Danio rerio: one gene and its partners. The protein of the gene in region 1 interacts with the protein of each later gene in a pairwise test. Links are inferred from orthologs where the notes say so. Each region holds a gene or a part of one and is shown in the gene's direction. Other genes may lie near its edges. The genes, in order: immt, pfdn1, pde4dip, chd3 and mrpl44.

What was found.
Region 2: the proteins of immt (region 1) and pfdn1 interact in a two-hybrid assay, tested with the Homo sapiens proteins (2 studies listed by BioGRID and IntAct). The link is inferred for Danio rerio from reciprocal best matches to the Homo sapiens genes IMMT and PFDN1.
Region 3: the proteins of immt (region 1) and pde4dip interact in a two-hybrid assay, tested with the Homo sapiens proteins (2 studies listed by BioGRID and IntAct, with this or other methods). The link is inferred for Danio rerio from reciprocal best matches to the Homo sapiens genes IMMT and PDE4DIP.
Region 4: the proteins of immt (region 1) and chd3 interact in a two-hybrid assay, tested with the Homo sapiens proteins (2 studies listed by BioGRID and IntAct). The link is inferred for Danio rerio from reciprocal best matches to the Homo sapiens genes IMMT and CHD3.
Region 5: the proteins of immt (region 1) and mrpl44 interact in a two-hybrid assay, tested with the Homo sapiens proteins (2 studies listed by BioGRID and IntAct). The link is inferred for Danio rerio from reciprocal best matches to the Homo sapiens genes IMMT and MRPL44.

What each region holds. Positions count from the first base shown.
Region 1 is NC_133189.1:18,417,880-18,420,371, forward strand, and holds the end of immt (MICOS complex subunit MIC60), read left to right. Parts: intron 1-86; coding exon 87-216; intron 217-876; coding exon 877-1,484; 3' UTR 1,485-1,979; downstream 1,980-2,492. UniProt on the Homo sapiens protein: Component of the MICOS complex, a large protein complex of the mitochondrial inner membrane that plays crucial roles in the maintenance of crista junctions, inner membrane architecture, and formation of contact sites to the outer membrane.
Region 2 is NC_133196.1:32,811,823-32,815,897, reverse strand, and holds the start of pfdn1 (prefoldin subunit 1), read left to right. Parts: upstream 1-1,254; 5' UTR 1,255-1,267; coding exon 1,268-1,300; intron 1,301-4,075. UniProt on the Homo sapiens protein: Binds specifically to cytosolic chaperonin (c-CPN) and transfers target proteins to it. Binds to nascent polypeptide chain and promotes folding in an environment in which there are many competing pathways for nonnative proteins.
Region 3 is NC_133195.1:37,890,436-37,893,957, forward strand, and holds part of pde4dip (myomegalin), read left to right. Parts: intron 1-655; coding exon 656-1,088; intron 1,089-2,899; coding exon 2,900-3,135; intron 3,136-3,204; coding exon 3,205-3,259; intron 3,260-3,522. UniProt on the Homo sapiens protein: Functions as an anchor sequestering components of the cAMP-dependent pathway to Golgi and/or centrosomes.
Region 4 is NC_133182.1:20,717,879-20,721,400, reverse strand, and holds part of chd3 (chromodomain-helicase-DNA-binding protein 3), read left to right. Parts: intron 1-746; coding exon 747-868; intron 869-1,053; coding exon 1,054-1,227; intron 1,228-1,323; coding exon 1,324-1,465; intron 1,466-1,695; coding exon 1,696-1,827; intron 1,828-2,380; coding exon 2,381-2,498; intron 2,499-3,522.
Region 5 is NC_133190.1:37,847,691-37,851,212, reverse strand, and holds part of mrpl44 (large ribosomal subunit protein mL44), read left to right. Parts: coding exon 1-202; intron 203-3,522. UniProt on the Homo sapiens protein: Component of the 39S subunit of mitochondrial ribosome. May have a function in the assembly/stability of nascent mitochondrial polypeptides exiting the ribosome.

The sequences.
Region 1 (2,492 bases):
GTATGTAACTTAATTATTCCTACGTAAGCAGATGGCAAAAAACTGTATATCATGTCAATCTAAATAGGTTCTGTCTTTGTTTGTAGATTCTGAACAGTAAGATGATGGAGCAAGAAACTCATTACCGCAGACTGACTCAAGAACAGCTGGACACCTTCACCCTGGACATGAACGCAGCTTACGCTCGTCTGAAAGGCATTGAAGAGGCCATAGACAGTAAGTTTGCTAGACGGCTACAACCATTTGAATCTCGATCAAGGTTATTTTAGTAAACAAAAAACCAAGACTAAATCTGTTGGTCAAATATATTTTTGTTAACTGATATAAAATAAGAAAAATCACAATAAATGAAAAACTAGAACTGAAACTAAAACAAATCAATAAAAAAAAACTGAAATAAAATAATGATTCGAAATGATCTGATTCTGCAGCAGAAAATTTACCTTGCAGCTTTTCAGAAAATTACCTGTAGATGGCGCTACTTTTTACTTTTCTCTATTATTTGTTTAATGGCTTTGGGTTCAGTGTCTGTCCAAACTATTTTTGTACTTTTATTACTAAAAAGTTTGAACAAGGGTTAAATTAAGCTGCGCAAACATTAAACTTTGCTGTGGTCTAGACTGGACATAATCTGTTAACTTTGTTATACTAGAATTACTAAAACTACATGTATCAGAACTAAACAGAAAATGTGTTCCCATGAACAAATCTAAATTAAAACAAAAAAACTACTAAATGAAATTTACAGCAATTTTTAATATATTATTGAATTAAAAACAAACTAAAAATGCTGAACTAAAAAACCTTGATCTCGATGTGACTTGACTGATATTGTTTCTCATTTTTCACATATCAAATATTTGTTTTGTCTTCAAGGTCATGTGATTGCTGAGGAAGAGGCTCGTAAAGCTCACCAGCTGTGGCTTTCGGTTGAAGCTCTAAACTACACGCTGAAATCTGCAGGTGCTGATTCCCCCACTGAGCCTCTAGAGGGCGCTGTACGTGCTATTAAAGAAAGCTGCGCAGAAAACGAATTTGCACAGGCACTGGCCATCGCCATTCCTGAAGAGTCCCTCAACCGAGGAATCTACAGTGAAGCTTCCCTTCGCGCACGTTTCTACGACATCCGCAGGCTCGCACGACGTGTGGCGCTTATCGACGAAACCCGCAACAGCCTTTACCAGTACTTCCTGTCCTACCTACAGTCCGTCCTTTTGTTTGAGAGGGATCAAGAAGCGCCACCTGCGAAACTAGCCCCTGAAGACCTTGACACATTCAAGCTGCTAGCCTACGCTACTTACAGCATCGAGCGCGGCGACCTGGAACTAGCCGCTAAGTTCGTCAACCAACTTCGCGGAGAATCACAGCGCGTGGCGCAGGACTGGCTCAAAGAAGCCCGGCTCACTTTAGAAACAAAGCAGGTGATTAGCTTGCTATCAGCATATGCTAATGCCGTAGGCTTGGGCACCACACAGGCCCCTTAGCCACACCCACTCTGTGGAGATTATGTAAATTATGAGGAGTGTTGCTCGCCCGCTATTAATAGAACCTTCCGCTCCTCTGATTAATTTATTAATAGGTTGCGTGCTAGCCCAAAATATTAGCGTTTCTCATCTCCCCGATGCACTTTTTTCCAGGAAGTCCTTGCCCTTAAAAGTACTCTTAAGTGGCCTACCATGCAGAACAACCAGTAGCTGTACCTCATTTGCGGGAAACGCATCTCAAAGGTTTTGTTGAGCTTGGCAGTGGCACTCCTCAGTGTATATGGTGCACTCTCACTGGTTAGGATCAAATGCGCAGGTTGAAGGGCCGCTGGATCAGCACTGTGGTTGGCAGCTTTACTCCTGTTCACCATTTCACAATGTAACTCTTCAGTTTCAAAGTTATATTTACTGGTTGTTTATTAACCCAGACTGTTGAGAATCAGTCCTTCTCTCATTCAGTATTGGCGATCAATAAATCATGGTTGTTGACATGAATGGCATTTCGGTGTTTTGCATGTCTGTGAATTTGGATGAAAGTGATAGTTTGATAGTTTCTCCCCCCACAGGAAGTGACATGGGAGAGAGAGTGAGAGTGAGTTAGGGATAGGAAATGTCCTACAGCCGGGATTCGAACTCGGGCACCCTGAAGTGCTACTACACCATATGTCAGCACACTAACCACTAGGGTATTGCGCTGACTTTTCAGCACATTTCTAAACATAATAGTTTTAATAACTCATTTCTATTAACTGATTTATTTTATCTTTGCCATGATGACAGTAAACAATATTTGACTAGATATTTTTCAAGACACTTCTATACAGCTTAAAGTGACATTTAAAGGCTTAACTAGGTTAATAAGGTTAACTAGGTGGGTTAGGTTTTTTAGGCAAATCATTGTAAGTTATTACAAATCAATGGTTTGTTCTGTAGACTCTTGAAAAATATAGCTTAAAGGGGCTAATAATTTTGATCTTAAAATTATTTTTTAAAATTAAAAATTGCTTT
Region 2 (4,075 bases), on another chromosome or scaffold:
ATTACTGAGAAAGTGTAGCTTAAATTAAGTGAAATAAAATGGAATACGTTTATTAGTGTGTTTGTTTTATGCGTTTAGTATAAATTACATGATTTCATGTACTAATTTCAAGCAATGGTAACAAATTTCTGCTGTTTAATAAACTATTGTGACTTTCTAAGTGTCTCTTATTTTTGTTGAAAACCTGGGAAAGATTCATAAGTGGCACCGTATTTGTCACAACTAATTAATTCATTCATTTTACTTCGGCTTAGTCTCTTTATTTATCAGGGGTTTGCCCCAGTGGAATGAATCACTAACCAGCACATGTTTTACACAACAAATGCCCTAATAACTGCAACCCAGTACTGGACAAGATACATAAACACTCATTAAATTCACACACATACAGTACCAATTTAGTTTATTCAATTCACTGCATGTCTTTGAACTGTGGGGGAAACCGGCGCACCCTGAGGAAACCCACGCCAACATGGAGAGAACATGCAAACTCCAAAGAATTGCCCACTGACCCAGCTGGGACTCGAACCAGAGATCTTCTTGCTGTGAGAAGACAGTGCTATCCACTAAGCCACCGTGTCGTCCCACAACCAATAATAAAACTATTTTTATTATTTAGATTTACTATTTTTTATTTATAAAATTTTAGTGTGTCGGATATAAATCTGCAGATATACAGATGTATGTTGTAAAGTTTAAACACTCACTGTGTGAAGTTATAAAAATATTGTGTTGTCATTACTACATCTGATATACTTGTCTTTAGCTTGGAGATTTAAGTCTCAAGTTGGTTTACCATCATTTGTCTCCTGAGGAAACCAAACAGAGTGTTAACAGGAGTTAAAATGCAGAACATACACGACTTTACAATACAAAACAACACGTTAATAGTAATAAAAAAATCTTGAGCAATGTTGCCACTGGGGTGACACATTTTACATGTAGCACACAATAATAGACACTAAAAATAAGTCCGCTTAAAGTCCGCTTAAATTAAGAGTCAGCTTCTAAACATTTTGACGCTAACATTGGTATAACGCTGAAACCTTTATCATATACTGTCATTTCTGTTGCACTGTTTTGAGATTGAAAGTAGTCCACAAACTTACCGTGTCTGCAAAACTACCGAGCTGCCTTTTTAGTGAACATTTATTGTGGATTGCCTGCCTGTCTGACATTGAAAATGTTGTCTATGTAGGCCGCTCACTAGGTTTTGCAACAAGCTCTTTGTTTCGCGCATGCGCAGGGACTCGTACCACTTAGCATCATGGCGGCTCCCGTAGACCTCGAGTTGAAGAAGGTAAAGGGTGGTTTTTGGTTTTATATCTAAAAACCAAACAGAGTTGTTACTTTGTTATGATAAAATACTGAATAAATGTTATTAAGCTTTTGTGGAGCAGAAGTAAGGTATAAAACTGTTTAAGCAACGCGATCTGTCAGTGTGTAACGTAGGTGCATGCGAATCCTTTTAATGTGTATTGTTTGTTATAAAGATGTGCAACGTCATATTTATAGTTTACCACTGTAAATCCTTTAGAAATGAATATCCAAACACATATCAATCTATCAACACATCATTACATGCTATAGGAAGCTTTCAATATGGCTTATTCTTTAGTTTTTGCTTATCCATATATATATATATATATATATATATATATATATATATATATATATATATGACATAATTTGTTGAAATATAACTGTTACAGCTATAGGAAATGCTGGATTTGCTGTATTACATATGAATTTGATAAAAAATTTATTATTGTGCTGTCAAAAAGAGCTGTCAAATGTTTAATCATAATTAGTCACATGCAAAATAATATTTTTTATTTACAAAATATTTAGTGATGTCTATATTTATGTATATTTTATATATATTTATAGATTATATGTTGTGACTTTCTAAGTGTCTTATTTTTGTTCTAGAATTTATGTTGAAAACCTGGGAAAGATTTATTAGTGGCACCAAATTTGTCACAACTAATTCATTCATTCATTCATTTTACTTCGGCTTCTCTTTATTCATCAGGGGTCGCCACAGTGGAACGAATCGCCAACTTATCCAGCACATGTTTTACATAACGAATGCCCTACCAACTGCAACAACATATAACAACATATAAATTGTTTAAATATAACAGTTACAGCTATAGGAAATGCTGAATTTGCTGTATTACATATGAATGTGAAAAAAATGTTATTATTGTGCTGTCAAAAAGAGCTGTCAAATGTTTAATCGTAATTAGTAACATACAAAATAATATTTTTTATTATATCTATAGATGATTTATTATTATAAAAATACAGTTATATTTATGTATAATTAGTATTATATGCAAACATTAATGATAGATAATTATAAATAAACATTTTTTTTTAAATGAATGTGTATTAATATATTAATATATACATAAGATATTTTATTTGCATTCATTTTGCAATGCAATAATCACAATTACTCATTTGATGACACATACAAATTATAAATATAAAGCTTTTATAAATAGAAACAAAATCTGTGTTATTTCCAGGATATCTGTGGGGTCTTAAAAAGTCTTAAAATGTCTTAAATCTCAAAAACAAAATTTTAGGCCTTAAAAAGTATTAGATTTACTAAAATATTGTGTTGTAGGTCTTAAATATTTTTTAGCAGGTCTTAATTTTCCTATGTTCATGAATAACTACCCAATCTGGCCATTAACACTCAACAATCACCAACAATCCCAATCTCAATAAAACTTTTAACGTTTTATTTAAAAATAGCATTTAATTACTTTTCTCACAGTAACATTTGTTAAAAAGTACTCCACTTTATATACCGCTGTGGTTGCTGACCTGACCTACATTTTGTATTATTAAAATATTATTATTGTAGACGGAAGTAATTGACAGCTATGCTTTGTTCTATTCTTGGTAAGGGTTATAGGAAGGCCCACACGGAATCTGCGCATGCAAATTTCCGCAGACTTTTAGCCCATCATTGAGTCTATTTATTTACTTGTATAAATGTGTATAAAATTATATTTATTCAGTTTTAAATTGTTTTCAATAATATTATTGTGATATAACAATAGTAATATTAAAATGTTCATATGATGTATTTACAATTCAGTTTTTAGAGTAATATTTTCTGTCTTTTAGTGGATGTATTATGAGAAACTTGCTTTGTTTACTAAATACGTGGATCTAGTTGGATTTGCATTGTAAACATAAGAGCTAAAAAGCTGTTGCTTTTATTTCATGTATTAAGTTTTTAGTTATGACGCTATAACCATAATCATTCCACAAAAATCAGCTGTTTTATTTTTTTATTTTTTTATTTTACAAATTTCTCAGCAGAAATAGCAAAAATGTCAGCAGATTCTGTCTGGCCCTGATTATTGGGTTTGTAGATGAATATTTTTGAAAATTTATAAAAAAAATATTGAAACATAATATTTCCTGTATTCAATGTTAATATTTTTTTTATCTAGCAAGTGAAAATCTTTTCTAACTTGGATATAAAAAATCCTCAGCATTAAGTTCTGTATAAGTCTAAAATTGCATTCATAATGGTCTTAAAAATGTCTTAAAATGTCCTAAATTTAATTTTGTGAAACCTGCAGAACCCTGTATTTCATTCAGAAAACAAAAATCAATGTCATTTCCGCCAAATTTAGATTTTTTTTTAACTCATCAGAAGCGACGTGTTTTCTAAAACAGAATATAAACATGTATGCACGTTTTTTGCTATTTTATGCAAATTCAGGGAAAAAAATGAATAAAATTTTATTGTAAATTTACAGTTGAAGTCAGAATTATTAGCCCCCCTGTTAATTTTTTCCCCCAATTAAGCATAAAAGTTTTAATAGATCATTTCTAATAACGGATTTATTTTATCTCTGCCATGATGACAGTAAATAATATATTACTAGATATTTTTTAAGACACTACTATACAGCTTAAAGTGACATTTAAAATTTAAAAACTGCTTTTATTCTAGCCGAAATAAAACAAATAACACTTTTTCCAGAAGATAAAAATATTATCAAAGATGCTGTAAAAATGTTCTTGCTCTGTTAAACATCAT
Region 3 (3,522 bases), on another chromosome or scaffold:
TTCTTTTCGGCTTATTCCCTTTATTAATCTGGGGTCGCAACAGTGGAATAAACCGCCAACTTATCCAGCATATGTGTTACGCAGCGGAAGCCCTTCTAGCTGCAACCTATAAGGAATTACCCATAAACACTCATACACACTCATTGACACTCATTGACACTCATACGCTACAGACAATTTAGCTTTACCAGTTCACCTGTACTACATGTCTTTGGACTTGTGGGAGAAACCAGAGCACCCGGAGGAAACCCACGGGAACACAGGGAGAACATGCAAACTCCACACAGAAATGCCTACTGACCCAGATGAGGCTCAAATCAGTGACCTTCTTGCTGTGAGGCAATCGTGCTACCCACTGCGCCACCGAAAAAAAAAAACTAATTTTTTAAATAAAAACACAGTTGTGCCCACCTAAACAACTGTTTGCACAAAAGCTGAAAGTCTGATAACATGAGCCATTACAGAAGAATGTAAAAAGGATCTTCCAGTATGCAGGGAGTGTACTTTTCCATTTATCCATAGAGAGAATGCTATATTTTATCAAAAGTTCTTAGAAGAAGCTTTCAGTGAGTGTCTAATTCTTTCCAATTTGATGAAGTGTATTAAACTTTGAAGTTTGATTTCATTGACGCAAGCATGTCCTCCTCTGCTGCAGAGTTTGATGATCTGGAGCTCTGCACATCTCTCTCCTATCGGGATGCTGGCTCTCAGTGGTGGGCTGGTCCCGCCACACACAACTCTGGGAAACCTGAACATGATGTGACGTACCTGCAGCAGCTGGTGGAGGATCTGCGTGGTCAACTGTCGCGATCTCAGGCTCTGATTCGCAGCCTGCAAGCCCAGATGCGTGATTGCACTCCAGTCGGCACTCCTCGCAAGGTCAACTGGGGCCTGGATAACTCTGAGACGCAGAGTACAGCTGAAGAGGACGAGGGCTGGCAGTCGTCGGACGGTTTCGGGTCACTGCCACGGCAGCCCAAGCAGGACCGAGAGCTGCAGGAGCTCGTCTCACGTGTGACGTCACTGGAGGAGCAGCTCAGGAAGGGCAAAGGTCATGCAGATGATGGCAAAAATGGAAACTGGCCGGGGTGAGTACATTCATAATATAATATGTAACATGAGTAATATATCAATTTTAATTTTAAGATTTGATATGTTATAAAAGTTTCATATATAATAAATATGTAAGTAAATAAATGTAAGATTAATACATTGCATTACATTGCAATGTGCATTAAGTGTAAGCCAAAAATAGCAATATATTGCTTGTCATTTTTCTAAATATTTTTTAATTAATTTAATGTTTTTTTTATTTATATTTTTTATATTATTCATTTATTATAAAATATTATATAATTATTCACTTTTTGTGTTTATTTAATTCATAATAGGGCTGCACATTAATGGAAATATCTGGCATTGCGATATTTTGTATTTCTGCGATATATATTGCGATAAGAATACTGCTTTATTTGGAAAGAATTTTTCATTTTAGATTGATTTGGGGTGATTTTGTAAAGAAGTGAATCTCGAATAATTTAACAAATAACTTACAAGCATGGATAAATGCAATATAGCAAAGATAAAGTGAATTATAGATTTCTGGAGAGTCTAACAATATTCACGTTCAGATATTGAATAATGAACACTGCATAGTATTTATTCTATATTGTGTAATATTTATTAAAGTAACAAACAATATAGAATTGGATTGTATTGCCTTTACTTCTCTTTTGGCAAGACACTGGATTTTAATCAATTGGAAACAGTAATTTCCCCCTTCTTTTAAACAGTGGGCCAATGATGTGTTGCATTTCCTTAATTTGGAAAAAATAAGACTTAATTTAAATAGTTCTGGGTCCAAGTTCACTGCCATGTGGCATCCTTTCTTAAATGACTTCTAAAGCCAAATGTAATTGTAAGTGGACAAAAGGATGCTGATGCTATCAGGTTTTTCTTGTATTGTACTGATGTTGTCTTCATTTTACACAATGTTAAGGCATTATGTTTATATATGTGTTGTGTTTTAAGTTATGTTGATTAATAAATGTATGTTTTTTGGCTATTTAAATAATTATGAAGGGGGAAAAGTTACAAATGTTTTAAACTTTGAAATGTATACACAGTCACAGGCCTTAAAGGGATAGTTCACTCAAAAATGTACATTTACTCACTATTTAGTTACCCTTAGCTTGTTTTAAACATTTATTTGAGTTATTAAGATATCTTCTTCTTGTGTACAACATAAAAAATAAACTCAAAAAGGCTTGAAACAAGTGAGGGTGAAATGAAAATAGTGAGTAAAGTGAGTTTAGTTTTTGGGTGAACTTTCTCTTTAAAAACACATTCAGATGTTAAACTTTTACTCCATTTTAACTAAACTCTGCACTGATTGTAATCAACTAATCAACATTGCCTATCCTGCGATGTGGCTATTGCAGATGCACACATTGCAAAATTGATGCTGAAACAATATATTGTGCAGCCCTAATTTATAGTTAAGTAAATTAAGTTACATATTACAAGTTTACGTACTCTGTATATGGAAATGTCAATAAAAGTAAATGTAAGATAAAGTTATAATTATATATTTGATTTGCTTTCCATAATAAAATGTTTTTTCTACTTACAGAATTTTTTTTGAATATTAAATGATGTGAAAACATGAAATGTATAAAACATAAAAAATATTTTACATTTAATTTGTTACATTTTTTTATTTGTTTTTTTAAACAATGTTTTAATAATTTATTATATTTGTATATGTTTGTTTACTTATTTATAGTTATATACTGTATGATTCCTTATTAAATCAGCTGTAGGAACTACACATTTCACAGATCTATTTTCACCATTATATCGTTTTACAAACATCACTTTTTTCCCATTCTCCCTGCAGTAAGTTTGACACGCTGATCCAGGCCCAGGCCCGTGAGCTGTCTCACCTGCGGCAGAAGATGCGGGAGGGCCGTGGCATGTGCCACATTCTGACCCAGCACCTCGGAGACACAACCAAGACCTTTGAAGAGCTTCTGCGCTCCAATGACATCGATTACTACATGGGCCAAAGCTTCAGAGACCAGCTCTCTCAAAGCATCTCGCTCGCACAGAGAGTCAGCACCAAGATCAGCGGTCGTAAGTCACAAACATACATATCTCAATTCTCGTACAAAAACATTGCACTGAATTATTTCATCCTCGCAGGAGATCACTCTGAAGTCCCAGATGATAAATCAGGCCATGAGCTGCTTGCAATACGGTGAGTCAGCTGAACACTTTATTGATCAGAGCTTGTCGTTAAATCAGGTTTCCCTTTGCTGTCAGTAAACCAAATCAGCCAGAACATGTGATGAGTACAGCACACAGGCCATATTGATTGGTTGATATTTCTTTCCCATTGAGCGACTGGACTGACACAGTTAAACCCCCAATGAAGAGGTTCTAAGAAATGTCTTAGCTCAGCTTTTTAACTAAGTATAATTGGCTGCATTGTTTTGCTTGTTCACAAAGCAGGGCAGATTC
Region 4 (3,522 bases), on another chromosome or scaffold:
TTTTACAAATTTAAGTAAATTAAACATAACACATGATCTTTAAGTCTATTCAAATATGCAGACTTGGTGTTGAACAAACTTTCCGTAATGTTATTAATGTTTGCTAGAGTTGTGCTGCTGAATATTTTTTTGTGAAAACTGTAATATATTTTGTTAGGATTCTTTGATGAAAATTAAATGAATAAGTGAAAAATTTCTGTCATTTTTCTTTCAAGTGACTCTTTATTACTTTATAGAGTCCTTTCTACAAAATTGTTGTAATTACTTTCAGTATTAAAACTCTTTCCAACCCCAAATGTTTCAATTGTTATGCTGTATGTTAACTAAGGATAATCAAAATCTATGCATACACTGTAAAAAATGCTGGGTTCCACACAATCCCTTCATGTTATCCCAACACAAATTGATTTTAACCTAATCTTTTTTACAAATTTAAATGGATTAACCATCAAACAATTATGTTGTTTCCCAAAAAGAAAAACATAAAAATTGTGTTATTTCAATTTTAAATAAGTAGTTTAAACAAACAGCAAAAGACTATAGAGATTGCCTTACAAAAACAAATTGCTCAATAAATCTACTATTATACACCTTTTGCAAAAAGATGCATGATGTTTTATTATTGGCAAGTTATGCTAACCTTGCTATACATACAGTTTTTGTAAAGAACCATGTATAATTTTAGCTGACTGAAATAAAGATTTTGTGTGTTTCATTAACTGATGTCTGTTGTTGTGGTGTGTTAGTTCTTCAGGAGACTGAACGACTACAAGATAGACCATAAGCTGCTGCTAACAGGAACTCCACTCCAGAACAACCTGGAAGAGCTTTTCCACCTGCTTAACTTCCTGACACCCAACCGCTTCAAGTAGGACCCTACACAAAAGCGTGCTTATTTACTCAAAATGACCCAATTTGCACAGTAAAACGTATTATGTTATCTAAATCTATGATATGCCAATTTTAGTGTGACTGAAGTTATGTAGGCGTCACATCAACAGACATGTTGTAATAATTTCACTAATAAATCACTTTGTTTCTGCAATCCCTCAGCAATCTGGAGGGTTTTCTAGAGGAGTTTGCGGACATCTCTAAAGAGGACCAGATCAAGAAACTGCATGACCTGCTCGGCCCTCACATGCTGCGGAGACTCAAAGCTGATGTGTTTAAAAACATGCCAGCAAAAACGGAGCTGATCGTCCGAGTGGAGCTCAGCCCCATGCAGAAGTGAGACCCACAACCTCAATATCCTTAACAAAATGTGTTGACTTCAGACAAAAATAATAACAATACAAACATCATACATACTCTTTGTGTAAACAGAAAATACTACAAGTTCATTCTGACGCGTAACTTCGAGGCGCTGAATTCCAAGGGAGGAGGGAACCAGGTGTCTCTGCTCAACATTATGATGGACCTAAAAAAGTGCTGCAACCACCCCTACCTCTTCCCCGTCGCTGCTGCCGTAAGAGCACACATTAAATTCATGACACCTACTATAAATCATTTCACTTTGAGCTAGATTGGTGCTAAAGTAACTGATGTAGTGTGAAATACTGCCACCTGCTGTTGGAAAACCTGGCTCAAATGCTGTCCAAAGGTTTGTAAAGAAAATGAATAATAGCTGCATTTTGTTTTTTGTGTCCGTGTGTACATATGTATCCTAGGCTGTTATGCTGTGTTTGTGTGCTTTAGGAAGCTCCCAAGACACCGAGTGGAGCGTATGAAGGTGTTGGGCTTACCAAGGCCTCTGGGAAACTCATGCTGCTGCAGAAAATGCTCCGAAAACTGAAAGAACAAGGCCACCGGGTGTTAGTGTTCTCTCAGGTATGAGCACATGGGTAAATACACATTCACACAGCCTGCTCTGTACACGATACTGAAGATGCTTTATTTGCTATTAGGCTCTCAAACGGCAGTATGTTTGGTTCCCCCAGGTGGTGCACAATGTAAAGTATTGATTATTAGACTAAGCATTTGTTTATAAAGGGATAGTCCACCCAAAACTAAAACCTCTGCCATCATTTACACAAAGGAAGATATTTTGAAGAATGTTGAGTGGAAAAGAGTTGGAAAAAACAAAGTTTTTTTCCAACAGTGTTCAGGAAATATTGTGTTTAACAGAAGAATGAAATTCATAATGTGATAAGGGAATCTTAATTTTTAGATGAACAATCCCCATAACTTGTGTTTACCATGTTTTGTTTCTCATTAGCATTCTGTTTAAATAAACATATATTTCTGATCATTGCAGGCTAATGTGGAGCAAATGGCTTGCTAGGTGCTCCTCAGATAGACTTATTTGATTCGTTGAACGACTTGGTCTGAAAGTTTGATTTGTATCATGTAGTTATACTTTTACACTTTGTTTCCTCGTCAGATGACCAAGATGCTGGATTTGCTGGAGGACTTCCTGGATTCTGAGGGTTATAAATATGAGCGGATAGATGGAGGCATCACTGGAGCTCTCCGTCAGGAAGCCATCGACAGATTCAATGGTAAGATACTTTTATTGCAGGTTGCTGGTTCGAGTTCCAGCTGAGTGAGTTGCATTTCTGTGTGGAGTTTGCATGTTCTCCCTGTGTTCATGTGGGTTTCCTCCGGGTGCTCCAGTTTTCCCCGGTTTTCATTTTCGTTTTGGCTTAGTCCTTTTATTAATCAGGGGTTGCTACAGTAGTATGAACCGCCAACTCATCCAATTTTATGCAGCAGATGCCCTTCCAGCTGCAACCCATCACTGGGAAACATCCATACCCTTTCTACATTCACTGAGGAAAATTTAGCTTACCCAATTCACCTATACCACATGTCTTTGGACTTGTGGGGAAACTGGAGCACCCGGAAGAAACCCGGGAACATGCAAACTCCACACAGAAATGCCAACTGACCCAGCCAAGGCTCAAACTAGTGACCCTCTTGCTTTGAGGCGATTTTGCTACCCACTGCGCCACCCTGCTGCCAAAATTGCAAGTATATTTGAACAAAATATTCATTTACGGTTGAACTATCTCTTTAGGCCCACTATTGAAAAATAATGTGGCACAATAACCACCAGTAGGTGTCAGCAAGTCCCTGTCTAATAAGTGAATCTTTGAATTCATTCAATTGGTTCATTATGATTCATAGAACAAAAAGGACAATACAGATGTTTGTTCTGAAGTACGCAAATGCTTTATCAGGAGCTATTTTAATTGACAAAACTGTAGTATTGTGTGTAACATGTAATTAACTCAGTAATTCAAGATGTCCTACAGCATAAATGTTGTATTTGTATGGTTTCATATGTTTTTGTATATTTTTATAAGATATAATGTAAGTAATATAACAGTATAATTTGTACTTTAATATGGCTTTGTCTGTCTAACATGTAAATTCAAATGTCATCAAGCTGTGACCTATTTTTAACACCTTTTGTTTACTGTATATGCTGAAAAGATCTACGTAAAAATGAAAGCTTTTAATAAAACATTTAAGCATTTAACATTTATTAGCATAATAAACATTTATTCTCTTTTCCTCTGA
Region 5 (3,522 bases), on another chromosome or scaffold:
TTACCATGCTGAGGTGGAAGCTTTCGGAGTCCGTCTGCAGGAGAGTTTCTCTGTGGATTTGCTGAAGACGGCGTTTGTGAATTCCTGTTACCTACGCTCTGAGGTGGAGAGGAGGAAAGCGCTGGGTTTGGATTCAGAGTCCGCCATCCTTAACCTGAAAGACAACACTGAGCTGCGTGATCACGGTCAACACTTCACTACGGTAAGCACAGTCAGATCACAGTTGCCACGCCAGACAAAGCAGATCTATGCCCGGTTGCCAGATCTGTTTTGTTGATATCTGTCTAACATCAAAACTGTATTAATTAGGCTTTTATCAAAGAGGAACTTGGCTGTAAAATGCAGAAGCAGGAGCCAACGGAAAGGTAGTAAAGAAAAGTAGAGTTAAATCATCTGAGTTGCAAGATTTGAACAGATTTATGCATGTTGAAAATCAACGTTAGAATCTGTTAAAACAACGTTAGTATCTGTTAGCTTTTACTGTAAGGGAAAAACTGGCTAATTTTGAGCTTTACCCCTCTAATTTTTTAAAATCTTTCAGCTTTAAAATCTCTGTCAGGCAGCGTTACTTTTGGTGATGTAGCATAAGCCTCTGTGTACTCCAGTGAAGTGTTAGCTGTCTAAATATTATTCATGAGACTGAGTTTTGTTATTCTATAGGAAGAGCTGCTTCTGAATAATTCAGTCAGTCTGACTTATGAAATCAAATATCCCTCAAACATACACAATATAATTTAAACAACAGAGGTTAAACCATAGTTATAACACTAAATATATGATTAAATTAACCCTTGTGTATTGTTGAAATGCACTACCCTTTCATAATCTTTTTGGCTGTTTTTACCCCATTGACTTTCATTATAATGACATTTTTTGATTGCAAAGCCATGACAGCATATAATCCTGCATTCTTGATTGTTGGTGGTTTTCCCTGTTGAGAAGAGGTCAAATTTGTAATTTTTACTGTTAATCATCAGTTGACACTATTATCCCTTTAGAAAAACTTCTATGGAGAACAACAACAAATGAAAGTGTGTATGCATAAATACACACTACCTGACAAAAGTCTTTTCATCGATCACAGTTGTAAGAGCAACAAATAATAACTGGACTTCTAGTTAATCATTTGGAAAACTGCCTGAAGGTAGATTTTTCTGATGAATTATTTATTGAACTGCATCCCAATCATCACAAATACTACAGAAGGAACTAAGATTGGAACCTGCATGGACCCAGGATTCTCACAGAAATCAGTCAAGTTTGGTGAAGGAAAAGTCATGGTTTGGGGTTACATTCAGGTTGTGGGGCTTGCTAGAGATCTGCAGAGAGGATGACGACATCAACAGCCTGAGGTATCTATACATTTGTTCTAGCTATTACATTAAAAACCACAGGAGAGGGCTAATTCTTCAGCAGGATAGCGCTCCTTCTCATACTTCAGTCTCCACATCGAAGTTCCTGAAAGCAAAGAAGGTCAAGGTGCTCCTGGATTGGCCAGCCCAATCACTAGACATGAACATTATTGAGCATGTCTGGAGTAAAATAGAGGAGGCATTGAAGATGAATTAAAATAATCTTGATGAACTGCAGGAACGCTTTTTTTGTCATTCCAGATGACTTTATTAATAAATTATTAGAGTCATTGCAGAGATATATAGATGCAGTCGTATAAGCTCATGAAAGTCAAACACAATATTAACTCTTTTTCCACTCCATCATGACTTTATATTCTACACTGTACATTATTTCTGTTAAGTTACAAGATTTTTGTCTAAGCAAACTCAAGGCTGATTTATACTTCTGCGTCAAACACCGGCGTATGCTACGGCGCTGACGCATAGCCCTTCGCCGTGGCCATTGCCGTCGCTGACGTGCACCTCTCAAAATTTGTAACTACACGTCGCAACAACGCGTAGCGCAAGCTCTGTGATTGGTCGGCTTGCTAGCGCCGACGAGTCTGGGCGGGACCGAAAGCCGCGCGAATGGCGCGAGCGATTGTTTACAAGTGTGGAGTCCCGTGAAGGAGCTCCGGATGGAAAGTTTTGTTCTGTGTTTACCTCATGGTTAAAGTTGTTGCACGTCTGCCGGTTCCTGCCTCAAAATGAGCGAGTTTGAGTCACTTGTACATCCAGGAAGTGTTCAGAATAGCAAAACAGAAGCGAAGAAACTCGACACAGAGGAACATTTACACCTCACTGCCCACTAGCGTTTCGGAAGTGTTAATGCAGACCAACAAAGACAGCGCGCAGAAGTATAAATGCACAGCTGCGCGCGTTGCCTGCGCCGTGAGTTGCGCCGGTCACTTGACGCAGAAGTATAAACCAGGCTTCAGACCTTACTGTACAAATAATTAAAAATCAAGGCATGATCATGTTTTGTTTTGGTAAAATAAGTGTAAAAATCAAGTTATTATTTGTTGGTCCTAAAAACTTAGGATAGGCGACAAGACTTTTGTCATGTAGTGTACACTTAAGGCTGATTTATACTTCTGCGTCAAACACCGGCGTATGCTACGGCGCTGACGCATAGCCCATCGCCGTGGCCGTCGCCGTCACTGACGTGCACCTCTCAAAAATTGTAACTACACGTCGCAACAACGCGTAGCGCAAGCTCTGTGATTGGTCGGCTTGCTAGCGCCGACGAGTCTGGGCGGGACCGAGAGCCGCGCGAATGGCGCGAGCGATTGTTTACAAGTGTGGAGTCCCGTGAAGGAGCTCCGGATGGAAAGTTTTGTTCTTTGTTTACCTCATGGTTAAAGTTGTTGCACGTCCGCTGGTTCCTGCCTCAAAATGAGCGAGTTTGAGTCACTTGTACATCCAGGAAGTGTTCAGAATAGCAAAACAGAAGCGAAGAAACTCGACACAGAGGAACATTTACACCTCACTGCCCACTAGCGTTTCGGAAGTGTTAATGCAGACCAACGGAGACAGCGCGCAGAAGTATAAATGCACAGCCACGCGCGTTGCCTGCGCCGTGAGTTGCGCCGGTCACTTGACGCAGAAGTATAAACCAGGCTTTACTATGTTTACTGTGTTGTAAGAGCTGAGCTGCTGTCTGATTTTTCAGACATATCAAAGTAAGTGAGCAAAGGTCTCTCTCTCTCACATGTGCACACATGTACTCCATATAAAAGCCAGAAACTATGTTTTTTTTTTCACTGCAACTGTTGATCACTAGTAAAAATTGCTAATTTTACCTGTTTCTAACAGGTATCTATCAAAAAATGTCATTATAATGAAAGTCAATGGGGCAAAAACAGCCACCAACACAACGGAAGGGTAGTAAATTTGCTCAGTGTATTGTTGAGCTTTTGAAAACTTTCAAAGCATTTTCCTAAAATATTTGTCAAAATAAGATTTGTAACCAAAAGTCTTTTCATATGCTAAAACACAGAGAAAGTTTTATCCAAATTAAGACTCAAAATAACCCGGGAGTGGATGAAAACATCCCAAACAGCCCACAAGGGTTAAATAATTAAATGAAGAATAAATCCGTGTAAAATAGAGAAAAGAGCGTTCCTAA